Arabidopsis thaliana: one gene and its partner. The protein of the gene in region 1 interacts with the protein of each later gene in a pairwise test. Each region holds a gene or a part of one and is shown in the gene's direction. Other genes may lie near its edges.

Region 1 (7,845 bases):
GATAACAATGACGATTGTTTCTATGAGTCTCTAGATCGTGTACTATCGTCTTGCTCTTGTTCAACTTCAAACTCTGATTACGACTCTGACCCGAATGTTTCCGATTCGATCCACGATCCGACTCCGTTTCCTGTTCCTATGTTTACCTCTGGGTTCGAGCTGTGGAAATCTGAGCCTGAATCTGTGTCGGAGAGACGAATCAGGTTATTGCGTGGTTTGGGACTTAGTAATGAGCCGGATCTACCTCCGGCGAGTCAGTTACGTTCTAGAAGTCGGAGAAACAGTTCTCATTTCTCTAGATCGGTTCCTTCTGATGTTTTGACTTCGAATCATCATGGTAAATGTGTGTTGAGATCAGATGTATCAGGTACTGACAATGTCGATCGAGAGTATACTGGATCTCGTATGCGAAACGATGGTGTTGATTTTATAAGCAAAGAGCCAATGGAAAGATCTCTTAGGGACATTGTAGAGAAAGAGAATGGTAGAGATGTTGTTTTAGAGGAGCAAATGTGTACTATTAGGAATTTAGATACTGGGAGAGAGTTTGTGGTGAATGAAGTTCGAGAAGATGGGATGTTGGAGAGGTTGAAGGAAGTAGGTACTGATCGGCAATTGACTCTGGAGGAGTTTGAGATTTGTGTTGGTACGTCACCGATTGTGCTTGAGTTGATGAGGAGGCAAAATGTTGAAGATGTTTGTAAAGACTCTGTGGATTTGGATACTAATGTTAGTGGAAGCAGGGTGACTAAACATAGAAGGAGAGGGAGTTGGTTAAAGAGTATTAAGAATGTTGCTAGTAGTGTGACTGGGTATAAAGAGCGACGGAGCACCGATGATAGGGATTCACCGTCTGAGAGAGGTGGTCAGAGGTTTAGCTCTGCAACTGATGATAGTCGAGATATGTCTTTTCATGACCCTGAGAGAGTTAAGGTTAGGCAGTATGGGAAGTCGTGTAAAGAGCTTACTGCACTTTTCAAGAGTCAAGAGATTCAAGCTCATAAAGGATCGATATGGAGTATTAAGTTTAGTTTGGATGGGAGGTATCTTGCTAGTGCTGGTGAGGATTGTGTTATTCAGATTTGGAAGGTTGTTGAGTCAGAAAGAAAAGGGGAACTCTTGTCGATGGATAAACAAGAAGATGGAAGTATAAATTTGTTTCTTTTAGCAAATGGATCACCCGAACCCGTTTCAATGTCTCCAAAGAGAAGAGGAAGAACATCTTTTAGCCGAAAATCAGTGAGCTTGGACAATGTTCTTGTTCCAGAGGCAGTCTTTGGTCTTTCAGAGAAACCCGTGTGTTCATTTGTAGGGCATTTGGATGACGTACTTGATCTTTCGTGGTCAAAATCTCAGGTGGGTACGAGTTCCCGATCATCTCATTTCGCTACAAATTCTTATTTAAAGCATGAAGTTTGTTTTCAAACTGGTAACTTTATTTTGTGGAGCAAAAATTTTCATGCGAACCTTGCTCATCTTACTAGTGCTAAGTTTAGGTTTTCTAAGTTTGTTATGTGAGAATCTGCTTCGTCTTTCTTAATCAGATAAAATCTTGAATTCTCAAGACTTTGCACTTCATTTTTTTGTTTCCAGCACCTGCTTTCCTCTTCCATGGATAAGACTGTTCGTCTATGGGACTTATCTAGCAAGACATGTTTGAAAGTCTTCTCACATAGTGACTACGGTGAGTGGATATACCATCCTATTCCCCACCAGTGATCATGATTTACTTTTCTTCTTAGTCTTTATGAAACTAAGCATATATTGTTAGAAGAATATTAAGTCATTTTAGGTGTCAACTCTGTTCTGGAAAGATTCATATGTCAATATAATGTGGTATGAATCAAGCTTCTTCCACTTGTAAATAAATCCCTGAAACACAAGAATTTCTATGTTGGTTATGTAACATAAAATTTTCTCTCATCTAGTTTTCTGTTTCCTCGATACAGTGACTTGCATCCAGTTTAATCCCGTGGATGACAATTACTTCATCAGCGGATCATTGGATGCAAAAGTTCGGATATGGAGTATTCCTGATCATCAAGTTGTTGATTGGAATGATCTTCATGAGATGGTCACAGCTGCTTGCTACACACCGGATGGACAGGTATGCCATTAAAAGTTTTTCTTACATTGAAGTGACTTTGGGTAAAACTAAATCACGCAGTACCTTAATAAAGCTCTCTTGGTTTGTAAAGGGTGCATTGGTTGGTTCATACAAAGGAACATGCTGCTTATACAACACACATGGTACATAAGCTGAGAACTTACTCATCTGAAACTTGAGTTGTTTCTCCATCTCGTCTTTTGAACTTATTATCTTTTTTGTTTATTCAGATAACAAACTGCAGCAGAGACGCGAAATCAATCTGAAGAACAGGAAAAAGAAAACCCATCACAAGAAAATCACTGGTTTTCAGGTAAAGCTAAAACAACTTACACCGTTCTGTTCTCATCTTTTCATTTATACTACAATTTTGTTTTGGATGCTGTACTGGTTTATCTGACTATTCTCGTGAAACTTTCACAGTTTGTGGCAGGAAGTTCATCGGAAGTTCTCGTCACATCTGCAGATTCACGTACGCGTGTTGTTGATGGTGTTGACCTTGTTCACAAGTTTAAAGGTAAACAATACTAAGCTTAAAACTCTCTTCTCCATTCTTAGAACTCGGGAGTTAGGAATAACTTTATTGTTCATGGAGGTGAATTTCTCGCTCTATCGTCATCTAAGATACACATGAGTCCCACATTTCATGAACATGATGTTCTTTCGCTTTTTCTTGATCTGGTGTTGGAGTAAAATAAGCTCAACGTTCTTGCCAAGTAATGTGTGTTTTTCTGAGTTTTAGAAAATTTTCGGGTTCGCAGGATTTCGCAACACGAATAGCCAAATCTCGGCTTCACTTACATCAAACGGGAAATTCCTAGTATCAGCAAGCGAAGACTCTAATGTGTATGTATGGAACTACGACTCAGACTCTCGAGCAGGAAGAAGCAAACGTGTCACAGTCACAAACTCATACGAAAACTTTTATTGTCGTGACGTCTCTGTGGCTGCACCTTGGCCTGGCAAAATCAGTAACAACCACACTAACAACAGCCCCGAACAGTCATCCTTCACAGCCAATAATAACCCTCCGACACCTGTCAACGATCCAACCAACAACAAAACCGTCACCAACGGTATCATTTCAAGCGCCACAAACCGATACTTCTTCGATAGAGTCTCAGCAACATGGCCTGAAGAAAAACTCTTGCTGGCTGCAAAAAACCGAGCCAGAACAAGCCCTCGTGTGAGCGTGGACATGTCTAACATACAGGTTAACACAAAACCGAGTGCCTCGGCGTGGTCTATGGTGATTGTGACTGGCAGTCTACGAGGCGAAATCAGAATATTTCAGAATTTTGGATTTCCAGTTCGTCTATGATGCAAGGAGAAGGTTTTACAATATCAAAATCCTAAGGCAAAGTGAAATTTTCCCTTAGTAAAACCATCTCCTGTCAAAAGTGTATAGATTGAGAGAAGGTTTGGTTCATCCACTGACTTCTCTCGTTTTTTTTTTTTACCACGCTTCTTTTATTTATCTGATTTGTTATCTCTAAAATTCAAATCTCTAGCAAATATATATAATGTTATTTTTAAGAAAGATTCAAATAGGCAGAAAAAGAAACTTCATATACCAATATAGTTTGCTTCGATGAAAGTCTGTGCTATTCAACTTGAAGTTTGTAGAATTTGTCTCTGATATTATAACTCTTCAAGGAGAGAATATATGGTAAACTTTTGTATACACATTTTGTAATTGTCTTTAGGTTTATCTTTACATGTAAAATAATTGGGTATTTTTGTCAATTCATCATTTCAATGAACAGTTTTATCTTTAGATCAGAGTGTCCATAACAAGTCAGAGTATAATTTTGTTTCATACCTCTAGGGCTCTAGCTCTCTGTTAATCCTCCCATACACAAAGAGATGGAGTCCCATGAAATTATACATTAAAATATCTACTGACAGAAAATCTAATTCTCGAATTATCATTGGCTTTAAGAAAAGAAACTGACAAAAACTTTCCCTAAAGATAATCTTATCCACACATATCCTAGGAAACACATATGGGAGGGGACCACCTTTCTCTTGTCTCAACTTCTATATAAACTCACGCAAGCACAGACATTTGCATAACATTCACATTACACTCTTTAAGTCTTAAACGAAACAATGGCCCTTCAAGCTGCTTCTTTGGTCTCCTCTGCTTTCTCTGTCCGCAAAGATGTATTTTATTATCTCTTTCTTTGTTTTAGTAATCGTTTCCTTTTTGTTTATGACCTGTCTCGGAGATTAATTCGCATGTTTTGGTTGCAGGGAAAATTAAATGCTTCAGCATCATCATCATTCAAAGAGTCTAGTCTGTTCGGTGTTTCACTTTCGGAGCAAAGCAAAGCTGACTTTGTCTCTTCCTCATTGAGATGCAAGGTACCAAACACAATCTTTTATGAGTATTTTTCTTGGAAAATGATGTAATAATCTAATCAATTGAAATGCTTCTACTTTGTAGAGGGAACAGAGCTTGAGGAATAATAAAGCGATTATTCGAGCTCAAGCAATCGCGACTTCAACTCCATCAGTCACAAAATCTTCCTTAGACCGCAAGAAAACACTTAGAAAAGGAAACGTGGTTGTCACGGGAGCTTCTTCAGGGCTAGGTTTAGCAACGGCAAAGGCATTAGCCGAGACAGGTAAATGGCACGTGATAATGGCGTGCAGAGACTTCCTCAAGGCTGAGAGAGCCGCTCAATCTGCAGGGATGCCTAAGGACAGCTACACTGTGATGCATTTGGACTTGGCGTCTTTGGACAGCGTGAGGCAGTTTGTTGATAACTTCAGGCGAGCTGAGATGCCTCTCGATGTGTTGGTCTGCAATGCCGCAGTCTATCAGCCAACGGCTAATCAACCTACTTTCACTGCTGAAGGGTTTGAGCTTAGCGTTGGGATAAACCATTTGGGCCACTTTCTTCTTTCAAGATTGTTGATTGATGACTTGAAGAACTCCGATTATCCATCAAAACGTCTCATCATTGTTGGATCCATAACCGGTCTGTAGTCTCCTCATAAGAAGAATGCTTTATGTACTTACTACTTACTCTAAACCCTAAATCTGAAATCTTATTCGTTTTGTTTCTTATTGAGCAGGAAACACTAATACATTGGCTGGTAATGTACCTCCAAAGGCTAATCTTGGTGATTTGAGGGGACTAGCAGGCGGGTTGAACGGGCTAAACAGCTCGGCGATGATAGATGGAGGAGATTTTGTTGGCGCAAAGGCGTATAAAGATAGCAAAGTCTGCAACATGTTGACAATGCAGGAGTTTCATAGGCGTTTCCATGAAGACACCGGCATAACTTTTGCTTCCCTTTACCCCGGTTGTATTGCAACGACTGGTTTGTTCAGAGAGCATATTCCTCTTTTCCGTACCCTCTTCCCTCCTTTCCAGAAGTACATCACAAAAGGTTACGTCTCCGAGTCAGAGGCTGGGAAAAGACTTGCTCAGGTTAGAAAATTAACCAAAACCTAACGTTGTTTGTGACGCAAGAAACCATTCTTTCAGTTTATTATTCTTGCTATGTACTCAACCTATGTATTGATTTGTTGAAGGTGGTGGCTGATCCAAGCTTGACGAAGTCGGGAGTGTATTGGAGCTGGAACAAGACCTCGGCTTCATTTGAGAATCAGCTGTCTCAAGAAGCTAGCGATGTCGAGAAGGCTCGTAGAGTTTGGGAAGTCAGCGAGAAGCTCGTAGGCTTGGCCTAAAATTTGATATGAGATTTTTCCTCGGTGTTTCAACCTTTGGTTTGGCTTAAGATGAGAAACAAACAAAAAAGGAGACATTAATAAAGCCTGTAACAACTTTGATTTAGTAGTTGTGTTTTGGCTGATTCTATCTGTAATGAAACAAATAATTCCACTTTTCAAGTTTTTTTTGTCAAAGAACATGAAACAGAGATTGTAAACTACAAGGAGAAGCAGAGTCATACAGCTTTATAACAAAAAGATTAGAAATAAAGAGACTCTAATATCACCTACAATCATATATGTTTTTATTTTTAATTTAGCGAGTGTTCAATAGACCTCAAAACAGAGCAAAAAAAACCGGAGAAAGGAAAAAAAAAAAAAGAAGGAAAGGGACCTGTCAGACCGCCGTGCGACCACCCCGGCAAGGTAGAACCGAGCCGAGTAACGATCCTCTACAGCACCGGATGCGTCCGAAGACGATCGTGGCCGTCAATCACGCTCTAGCCGCACGGTCATGGTTCATCAACCAGGGTAAAAGGCCTGTCTCTTGAGAAATCAAGGAAACAGAGGTACGAGCCTATAGAACAGATCCTGTTCAAGTAAGGTCGTGACCATCAACGCTCTCACAGTCTTATATATTCAAGAAGTTAAGTTTCTAGGCAAGCGATGTGGGACTTTTACGGAGCACATGACATAACTCGATTTGGCGATATACGGGCCAACGCCCACTTAACTTATATTTACGAAAAGCCCAAACTTATATTATTTGCTCCAAATAAAATCCAGGCAGGGTAGAGTTTGCTTTGAATAGTCCCTACTCGGATCCTTTTTAGTGCTCCAGTTTTGCAATATTCTCGTTTTTCTGACCGACATGTTCTCTACTTAGTTTGTAAGTGTTTTACATAATGAAAAGCTTAACTCTATAAAATCAAGACAGTTAGAGTATTACTGTTGATATCGAAGTGAGAATTTGTGATAAAAACTATTGATGTAAGTTCTCAATGAACTCAAACTTGGTCATAAACAAATCATTTCGATATTATCAGCCGCCTTAGAGAATCTTTCAGCTGATACTGTCAAAAGCTTGTTAAGAGACATGTTCTCACCTCTGCTCTTCAACTTTTCTTCATACCGATGCTTGATCCTGCTATCAAGCTTGTATCCAAGAAATGCAGGGAATGCAAGAAGTTCTTCGACTTCACGACCCATGTACTCGATCAAATACTCCAGTTTTTCCTCTAAAGAAGTATAATTATACTGCAGGACTTGAGGATGTTTTGTGCTCATTGCTAGAATGTCTTCGAATGAAAGACCATAACTCAAGTACAGTCCAATAACCCTCTGCATATTGTCAGAGCTTGTTCTGGTCACAGCTCCCATCGCAAAGGCCAGTTCCTTTGTTCTATGCTTATATCCAATCTTCACCAGAAAACCGAGTTTGTGCGAGAGATTATTTTCGGATAGAGCTAAAATCAATGGTGCTTTACTCAAGAATTTGAACATGCCGGGGGAATCAAAGCCGCATTCCTTCAGAAACTCTATCCTCGGGCGCAGTTTCCTCTCTTTACTAGTGCTGATAACATTAGGGAACACATGAACAATCTTAAACACTTGCTCACTCGTCAAGCCAGCAAAAGACTTGAGAAACTCTACTTGGCCGTTCATATGCTCAACACTATAACTCAATATGGCAGGAAGTCTACGTAGCACCGTTCCAGTAGCGAAATCGTCTTCCCCGCTTAGATTCCTAATGAAATCAACCCTAGGAATCAACTGACTATCCAAGTCACTATTGAGAATCACTGGCCGCCTAGCAATTATACCAATTCCACCAAAAGGTTCCAAGAAACTAATCAATCTCTCAATATCTTCAACTGATTTCTGATACAGCAATTTATTTAGGTACACTTTGTTCAATACATGAGAGATCTTTTCTTTAGGTATCCCATGGAGGAGAAGCAATCTCACCTTCTGATTAAAACTAAGCAAGATAGATGTGTCTACCACAGAGAGTAAGCGCTCAACTAATTCAGGATCAAGCCTTCCTTCAAGT
Region 2 (9,344 bases), on another chromosome or scaffold:
GAGGGAAGATTCTGTAATGGATTTGAGGAAGTATTGGCTCGTTATAGAGAAATTGTACCTCAGCTTAAGCTCGCAGGTTTATTTCCTGCTCTGACCTGCACTGGCCAATTCTATATCTCCTTGTGAAACGCAAGTTATAAACTTAAAACTGTGTTTTTTTTTCCTGCGAACTTATGTATTTCAGGACCAACTTCTTTTGCCCCGATCATTGAAATGGCAATGACAGTGGTTGAGCAGAGTAGTGGCCAATATCATGTGTTAGTGATTATAGCTGATGGCCAGGTACTGATTAATATTTTGACTGCCTAAGCTGTGTATGATCTTCTGGTTTTGTGTCTAGGGATATCAAAGTGGACCCATTTTGTTGTTTCAGGTCACAAGAAGTGTCGATACCGAACACGGGCGGCTAAGTCCGCAAGAACAGAAGACAGTAGATGCAATTGTGAAAGCAAGGTGCGAATATTTCAATCTTTTGACTAATGTTTCTTCCATTTTAAAGTTCTTTACTTTGAGTGTAATGTTATAAAGTGTTATGGTATGTAATCAGTTTCATCCTCTCTATTACAGTACCCTTCCTTTGTCAATAGTCTTAGTTGGGGTCGGGGATGGACCATGGGACATGATGCAGGAATTTGATGATAACATACCTGCCCGAGCTTTCGATAACTTCCAGGTAAGCTTCTTTTTTTCATATCATGACATTGAAGATTGCTTCTTTTCTTCAGTTTGGAACCATTTTTCTAACATGTTTGCTCTGTTTCTAGTTTGTGAACTTCACAGAGATCATGTCAAAGAACAAAGACCAGTCTCGGAAGGAGACAGAGTTTGCGCTGTCTGCTCTCATGGAGATCCCTCCACAGTACAAAGCAACGATAGAGCTTAACCTTTTAGGGTAAGGGACCCAAATCAAAACTCTGATAGGTGTAGCTGCGAGAAACTGCTATATTGTTAAACAAAATGCTCACCTTTCTCTTTCCCTTACATTTTTGCAGGGTAAGAAATGGAAATATCCCACAGAGAATCCCACTTCCGCCACCGGTGCAGAGTGGATCATCATTCTCTAGTTCCCGGATACCGAATTTTGAACCGAGTGTACCTCCTTATCCATTTGAGAGCAAGCAAATGAGTAGTGCAGACGATATTCAGGTAATTAGTAGAAACTTAGGAATCTGTTTGAAATGTTAAGTGAAATAAGAGCTTTGGAACTTTTTGTTGTTAAACTCGTTTGTGTTATTTTCCCCTTGAACAGCTATGTCCGATATGTCTGAGCAACCCGAAAAACATGGCGTTTGGTTGTGGCCATCAGACTTGTTGTGAATGCGGACCAGATCTTAAAGTGTGTCCTATTTGTCGTGCGCCGATCCAGACCAGAATCAAGCTTTACTAACAACACCATTGACATGCAGCTTTGACCAGCCCAAATCCCATTTCTTCCAGAGATTTTCAGATCTTTCTGTAGAAAATTAAAGTGTTCTTTTGTTCTTTGATTGAATTCCTAAACTTTATCTTGTTCATAAAATTTCTTTGATTGGATTGTAAGAATTATGTATTTGTCTGTTGGCTTTCTTTGATTTTTCAAGATTCGATTAAACCAAAGTTGATTGCTTAAACACTTTAATTTTGATTTGTTTTGTCGACATAAGCAATGAGAAATAAATGGATGAATAGCCCAATAGAAGCCCATTAGCCTGAAATTGGGCTACAAGCAAACATACCAAATAAATAGTAGGGAAGAGCAGAAATAATCACACCACTCATCAGTTATCCATTCCTTTCTTTTTACATAAATTTTGTCACTTTTTCTACAAACGATTCTTCGCTTCTGTGAAATTTGATAAAGCGAAAGTTTTTTTCTTATGGATTCTCTTCGATTCAACCTCCAACAATCTCCATTTCAATTGAAACCTAGAATTCTCCGACCAAGAATCACCAACATATCAAACCGAATCGATGAAACCGATCCTCGACCATCATCCTCGGCCGGTAGGATCCAAAGGTTAGTACTTAACAACGAAGGTCGGACCAAACTAAACGCCGATCCTGACCGTGAATTCTATTCATATCCACGGTTCGTGAACCACGTAGATGATAGTTTCATATCCTCCTTAACCGAACTATACAGAAACCGGTTGAGACCCGGTTCGACTGTACTTGACTTGATGAGCTCATGGGTCAGCCATCTTCCAGAAGAAGTGAAGTACGAGAAAGTAGTAGGGCATGGTCTTAACGCACAGGAGCTTGCTCGTAACCCTAGACTCGATTACTTCTTCGTCAAGGATCTTAATGAAGATCAGAAGTTCGAGTTCGAAGACAAGTATTTCGACGCTGTTTTGTGTTCTGTTGGTGTACAGTATCTACAACAACCCGAAAAGGTACGTTACCGTAAACCAAAACCGATTTCGGTTATGTCAAGAAGATTCCTAAACCGGGTCTTTATTATATAAACCGCAGGTGTTTGCAGAAGTGTATAGAGTGTTGAAACCGGGAGGAGTGTTGATAGTGAGTTTTAGCAACCGGATGTTTTATGAGAAAGCAATTAGGGTTTGGCGTGATGGAACCGAATACAGTCGGATCCAATTGGTGGTTCAGTACTTTCAGTCTATTGAAGGGTTTACTCAGCCGGAGATCATCCGGCAACAGCCTGGAGCTCAGATATCGGTTTTGACTCGGCTTATGGGTTTTATCGGTTTAGCTTCTACGCCCGATCCTTTTAATGCTGTCATTGCTTATAAAAATTTCAAACCTATTTATGAGTAACACGCACATAAAAAAAAGTGTATAAGAATTGGATGGGAAGTTTTTGAAGAAAAGGAAAAAACCTCTCAACCAAGTCCAGCTGGAGAAACTTACAATACAAATTTTTAAAAAGTGGAGAATGAAATTACAGATTTCAATCAAATTGGAAGAACCTGTATTACACAAGAAATAATTGACAGAAAGATTACACACTTTGGAAAATATAATTAATATATAGTTTTCAATTAGCATGCATTGTATGTGATTCGTTTTGTTCGAAGATTCATGGACAATATCCAAGCAAGGTAGCCTTGTCCCTCTTCAAACGAGTATCACGAGTTGCTTACTTTATGGTTTAGATTCTATAATAACAGTATATATATTAGAAGGAAGTCTTTTATATTAAAACAAAAATCCATTGTATATGTACACTATCTATGTTCCATGCATGTGTCTTCTTAAATAGCTATGAAGTCCCTTATTTTACTATGTACATACTAAATTTAGTTATGTTTATCAGGATAACTCGTTGTACCATCAGTATATAAACTTTGAAATATTAAATGTTTCTCACTACTAGTATTAGACTGTTGCAGTTGCGTTAGAGACGTTTCATATTTAGAAATAATATTATCCAAGACCTGAAATTCTTATTATTATGAAAATTATGAAATATCGATAAGGGAAAAACTGTATGGAAGTGTAAAAGACACCAAAACAGATATTGAACCAAAGGTGAAGCAAAGAAGTTGATTCAAAGTTGCCACTTTATTTAACCTTTTGCACCAGTATATATACACACACATGGATACTAACCCAATCATTCATCACAACACATCAGATCCTTCACCATATATTTCTCTCAACCTCGCCAATATGGCCCAACGCTTTCAATTGAACTCACAAACCCTCCCAACGGCCGACCCTCTCAAAAGGGTCTCCCTTATTCCAAGATCCGCCGAGCAGAGGCTGGCTGATAACGCAGGCGAGAGGCGTCCTTTAGCACCGAGATCTCACGAAGACAACCCCTTTGGGGGTCATACTGATGATCACCATGTTGCTGCTCCTGCGGACCATAATAAGGTGATGGATCATAATAGCGAGAATCTCGGTTCCATTGTCCCTAAGACTGCACATTACCCTCATCCATCTGAGGAAATCCTTGATGCTAATATCCGACATTCGATGGTTCCGAAATCATTGGGTCCCAATTCGCTCGGTGGAAGATTTGGTCCGGGAAAGAAACAAGCTTTCCATAGAAATGGCAGACCCATGTTTTCACTTTCTGATGACCGAGTCATGGCTGATAGAGTCTTGAAGACTCACAGTCCAGACATGATCTTCTTTGATGTCACATCACTTCTCTCCGTTGTTAATGACATCTTCAAGTCTCATGTCCCATCCATTGACTCCTCTGCTCCTAAGGTTTAGTTTACTTGTGCAACAATTAATCCCCATTTCAAATACTGATTTTTACAAGCGTATTAAATTTAAAACTTTTTGCAGCCATCACTCGTCTTCAAGGACTACGCTGATCATACCTCCTTTGAAACTTTTGCGGATCTCATTGATCAAATCTCTTGCGAGGTATATATGAAGCTTTCTTGTTTTAAGTAACGTTTGAGTCAGTATCTAAGTATCAATGTCTCTGACACAGATCGACTGCAAGTGTCTCCATGGCGGTGAGTCTCACGGTATGATGACATCAGGGCTTCATTTGGATAGTCGCAACACGACGACGTTCTCTGTTCTGTCTTTGGTCTCCAAATACCGTTGGGATGCTAAGCTAGTCCTTGTCCTATCTGCTTTGGCCGTGAAATACGGCGTTTTTCTCCTCCTCGCGGAGACACACGCAACAAATCAGCTCACAAAATCTCTGGCTCTCATCAAACAGCTCCCTAGCATCTTCTCCCGGCAGAACGCTCTACACCAGCGTCTCGACAAGACCCGAATTCTGATGCAAGACATGGTTGATCTCACCACTACCATCATCGATATCTATCAACTCCCGCCAAACCACATCACAGCCGCGTTTACCGACCATATCCCCACTGCGGTTTACTGGATTGTTCGCTGTGTTTTGATATGTGTTTCTCACATCAGTGGCGCCAGTGGTTTCAAGCAGGAGTAAGTTGTTTTTCTTTCTGATTTCTAGGGTTTCAAGTAGGAGTAAGTTGAGTATGTGCTTCTCATCTATGTTTTCAGTCAAATCATGTCGTTTATGGAAGTTTCGGAGATACATGAGAATAGCGAAAGGCTTAGGAAGATCAATGCTTACTTGTTAGAACAATTCAAGAAGAGTAAAATGACCATCGGTAACTACGACGTCGTTTTAAGCTCTCTCTCTGTTTCTATATATTTAAGAGTATTTTTATTCCTCTGTTCTCAAGCTCTGTTTTTTTTACTCTGTTACAGAGGAAGGTATAATCGAAGAAGAGTATCAAGAACTCATCCAGACGTTCACTACTATCATTCACGTCGACGTTGTTCCTCCTCTACTTCGTCTTCTCAGACCCATTGATTTTCTTTACCACGGAGCTGGTGTTTCAAAGAGACGCGTAAAACCTCCTTATATCTCTGCATCTGTATATGTCTCTTGTCAGTGACTGATCTGTTTTCAAACATTAACCAGGTCGGGATCAACGTGCTCACCCAAAAGCACGTTCTGCTTCTGATATCAGACCTAGAAAACATCGAAAAAGAGCTCTACATCCTGGAATCGCTCTACACAGAAGCATGGCAGCAGTCATTCGAGATTCTTTGGGTTCCAGTTCAAGATTTCTGGACAGAAGCTGACGATGCCAAGTTCGAGGCCCTTCACATGAACATGAGGTGGTACGTTCTTGGAGAGCCTCGGAAATTAAGACGAGCCGCGATAAGGTTTGTGAGGGAATGGTGGGGTTTCAAGAACAGGCCTATACTCGTTGCACTTGATCCCAAAGGTCAAGTTATGTCAACCAACGCCTTTCCTATGGTCTGGATCTGGCAACCCTTTGCTCACCCTTTTACCACCGCAAGGGAACGTGATCTATGGAGCGAACAGGAGTGGAATCTTGAGTTCTTGATTGATGGCACTGATCCTCATTCCTTAAACCAGGTTTCTTGATTGAATAAAAAAACAGAGTACTAATAAATTTTTCTTTCTCTTGTGTTACACGTAACCTGAAAATCTGTGTGTGTTTCAAATGTTTTTTATCAGCTTGTTGATGGAAAATACATATGTCTCTACGGAGGAGAAGATATGCAATGGATCAAAAACTTCACGAGTCTCTGGCGTAATGTAGCGAAGGCCGCAAACATTCAACTTGAGATGGTTTATGTCGGGAAAAGAAACCCTAAGAATGGAATCCAGCCGATAATCAACACAATCCGGGAGGAAAATCTCAGCCATACTTTGCCGGACTTGTTCCAGATCTGGTTTTTCTGGACCAGGGTCGAGAGCATGTGGGAATCGAAGCAGAGGATGCTGAAAGCCCACGGAATCAAGGGGAGAGAAGGGTTTAAAGAAGAGGAAAAGGACCTTGTTCTGCAAGAAGTGGTTGCTATGTTAGGTTATGGAGGAGAAGGAGATGGATGGGGACTGGTGAGTAAAGCATCGGACATGATGGTTCGAGCCAAAGGGAACTTGTTTTCTAGGGGTTTGGCTGAATTTAACGAATGGGAAGTCAACATCCCCACAAAGGGTTTTCTTACAGCGCTCAATGATCATCTCTTAATGCGTCTCCCACCACATCACTGCACAAGGTTCATGCTTCCTGAGACTGCTGGAATTATACCTAATGAGGTTGAGTGCACCGAGTGCCGTAGGACTATGGAAAAGTATTACTTGTACCAATGCTGCCTTGAGTAAGATCCCATAATACTGGGGAACAAGTTGATTTGGAAGCCAACAACTTGTTCCTATAAAACCAAATAAGTTTGCGTCTTTTTTTTCCTCCTTGTTGTGAGTTTCTCTACTCTTCATGTTGTTGTTGTTGTTCTGCTCTACTAAAAGCAGAGAGTCTTTGTAATAAAATTTGTGTGTTTGAGATTTCGAAATAATAAAGGTTTATTTATCGGAAGCTTCTAGAACAATGAACTGATTGAACATTGCTTCTTTGTTGATTTCTTGATCCTTAAGCTCCTAGAACACTAGTGAACTAATACACAAGTAACACAAGTGACCGTGACATTTTTTTAATGTGACAGTAATATCTTTTGACATTTAGCCTTTTGAAATGAAATTACTTAATGCTAGTAAAATATAGGCAAAGTAAAAGGATGGATCAATCAATCAAAAGATGAACAGTCTTTTGAGTCCAAATCACATATCGTAATATATCTAATAGAAAGTTAAAAGTGTTAGTCTACATTATTGAAAAAATAAACCATGAGACTGATTGCTGTATTACAAAGGGGGAATACAACTTTAAACGACAAATCAGCGGTTCCTAGCCTGTAGTTAATGTAAAAGTTAAATCTTCCAAACCATCAAATACTTTTTAAATATTGCATATATCGGATTCGATTTCGAAGAAGCTCTTATACGTATTTCTAATGATGAGATATTAAAATTTGTTGCGTATAGAAACAACAAATTTAATCCTACCTATAAACGTTATGCTAAAGTTAATAGAAAAAAAAAAAAACATGCATAGAATAAACCCAAAGCATAACAATCTTATTTTTAGAAAAGTGATTGTCTTTAGATAAATATATCCTTGGTTACTCTTTTATTGCTTTTTTTAGCCTTATCCAAGATATATCATTGAGCTTAAGAAATTCTTTAGTTTTACCCAAAAGAGAGCAAAGAATCTTAACTTCACACCCTTTTGTTCACTTCACTCTTGATGCTATTTTCTGAGGCATGCATGAGATAAAATCAATGTAAAGTAACTTAAAGTAAATGACAGAAGCCATAAATTATAATATTCTATGGCATGAGGTGAAGTAACATAAGAATATAAGCAAAGTAGCAAACAAAATGTGTCTTATCTTTTAATGTCCTTTAGTAACATAAAAATGCGAGAATTAATTAGTAGTCCAGTGATCATCATTATGATGGAGAAAAGTGAGGAATTCGTCTCCAAACCTCCCAAGAAAATGACAAAAATCTGTATATTTTAGGATCTAAATTTCTAGTTGGCAATGAAGTTAATATCATTAGTAGCAATATTAAAATAGTGTAGTTTTTGATCCACTTTTAGTCTTATATGAATTTGAATTCAGTAATACACACATAAAGAAAGAGTACTAGCTCTAAAGATTTACGAGTAAAACTCGCAACATTTCAGTGAACCATTTTCTTCCCATTATGATTTAGTTCTTATTTACTATATATATTCGTGTAAAGTAGGCCTATACTTTATTGTGCTAACGATATTCACGTGGACGGGAACTATATATCTCATTAAAACTTCTATAATAAGCCACCAAAAAAAGAAAAGCAAAAAAGAAACAAGATTATATAATTGATATTCTTTGTATGTTTAATTTAATTGTTGCAGAAGCAAAGAAGTCGATTCTCAATTTCCAACCGTAACTAAGGGGGAGAAACGAGTATTTAAGGCTAACCTCACATAGCAAAACTACAAACCAATAAAGACAGCCTCTTCTTCTAACAAAAGCAAACTGAACCAAGAATGGAGTCGCTGATCAAGTCCCAGCACGCTCAGCAACTGGCGGGTCACAAGAATACGACCGGTAAAACTCCGTCCATGGAGATGATACCGGCGACGGGACTTGCGATGTCATCGGACGAAAGCATGATGCTGAAGCTGATTCAACAAACTCACTCCCCAGATGCTCGCGAAGTCCAAGTGCGTGGCCTTCTCTCTCTCGTTGAAGATATTCTCGATCGTGCCACTCTTGACTCTGAAGACACCAACGCCTCCGTTAGTATTCCTACACACAATCAATTTCGTTCTTAGTACGTACGTATGATCATGTTCCTTTACGTACTTGCTTTGATTTTTCAGATGCTTCCGTTGCCCACTGAGGATAAACTGATGCAGTCAAGCATGATGAGCGTTCTTGATAGTGTCTCCTATGCTATCGATCGTGTTGCCTGCGAGGTATAGCTACATTCACTTTTTGTTTGCCACAATTCAAGTGATTCTTTGTTTAGACTTTTTTGGCTCACCAAAATAACATCCAAGTTATTAGGTTTCGTTCGGGCTAAATTCGGTGTGTTTTGGTTCAGTTTCAGGATATTCAGTCTAAATATAAATATGTTGACCATCTTGGTTCGGTTAGGTTGCGCAGTTTCCACCTACCCCTAGATATCAATCTTTGTGGTTATAGATGCTCTTATAAACCACACTCTCTAAAGATTGTTGTACACGTAACCAGCAATAACTTGTTACAGAAGCAATACACTGTTTACGTGGTTCTCTCTCTGTTCTTCTTTTCAGATAGCCTATAAGTCTCTGACGGGATCTGATTCACACGAAATCACAATGTCCGTGTTCGAACACCTCTCGAGCTTCCAGTGGGACGGCAAGCTCGTGCTGACTCTAGCAGCGTTCGCGTTGAACTATGGAGAGTTTTGGCTTCTGGTCCAATTCTACTCAAAGAACCAGCTTGCTAAGTCCCTAGCTATGCTCAAGCTCGTCCCTGTGCAGAACAGA

What was found.
Region 2: the proteins of PORA (region 1) and SEOa interact in binary tests that used the Arabidopsis thaliana proteins (3 or more experiments, as listed by UniProt).

What each region holds. Positions count from the first base shown.
Region 1 is NC_003076.8:21,989,148-21,996,992, reverse strand, and holds PORA (protochlorophyllide oxidoreductase A), read left to right. Parts: upstream 1-4,178; 5' UTR 4,179-4,219; coding exon 4,220-4,273; intron 4,274-4,363; coding exon 4,364-4,474; exon of another isoform or gene 4,475-4,556; coding exon 4,557-5,094; intron 5,095-5,191; coding exon 5,192-5,550; intron 5,551-5,654; coding exon 5,655-5,810; 3' UTR 5,811-6,129; downstream 6,130-7,845. Other genes in the region: AT5G54200 (Transducin/WD40 repeat-like superfamily protein), read left to right, coding at 1-1,356, 1,594-1,684, 1,950-2,107, 2,199-2,250, 2,338-2,420, 2,531-2,624, 2,869-3,428; PTAC15 (plastid transcriptionally active 15), read right to left, coding at 6,810-7,845. UniProt on the Arabidopsis thaliana protein: Phototransformation of protochlorophyllide (Pchlide) to chlorophyllide (Chlide). PORA may also function as a photoprotectant during the transitory stage from dark to light.
Region 2 is NC_003074.8:243,676-253,019, forward strand, and holds SEOa (sieve element occlusion protein), read left to right. Parts: upstream 1-3,516; 5' UTR 3,517-3,540; coding exon 3,541-4,161; intron 4,162-4,242; coding exon 4,243-4,323; intron 4,324-4,393; coding exon 4,394-4,863; intron 4,864-4,941; coding exon 4,942-5,051; intron 5,052-5,151; coding exon 5,152-5,294; intron 5,295-5,368; coding exon 5,369-5,833; intron 5,834-5,935; coding exon 5,936-6,586; 3' UTR 6,587-6,797; downstream 6,798-9,344. Other genes in the region: RGLG1 (RING domain ligase1), read left to right, coding at 1-76, 185-282, 374-453, 568-673, 765-892, 993-1,146, 1,250-1,387; AT3G01660 (S-adenosyl-L-methionine-dependent methyltransferases superfamily protein), read left to right, coding at 1,857-2,372, 2,452-2,757; SEOR1 (sieve element occlusion amino-terminus protein), read left to right, coding at 8,358-8,609, 8,694-8,789, 9,129-9,344. UniProt on the Arabidopsis thaliana protein: Scaffold protein required to form the phloem filament matrix in sieve elements.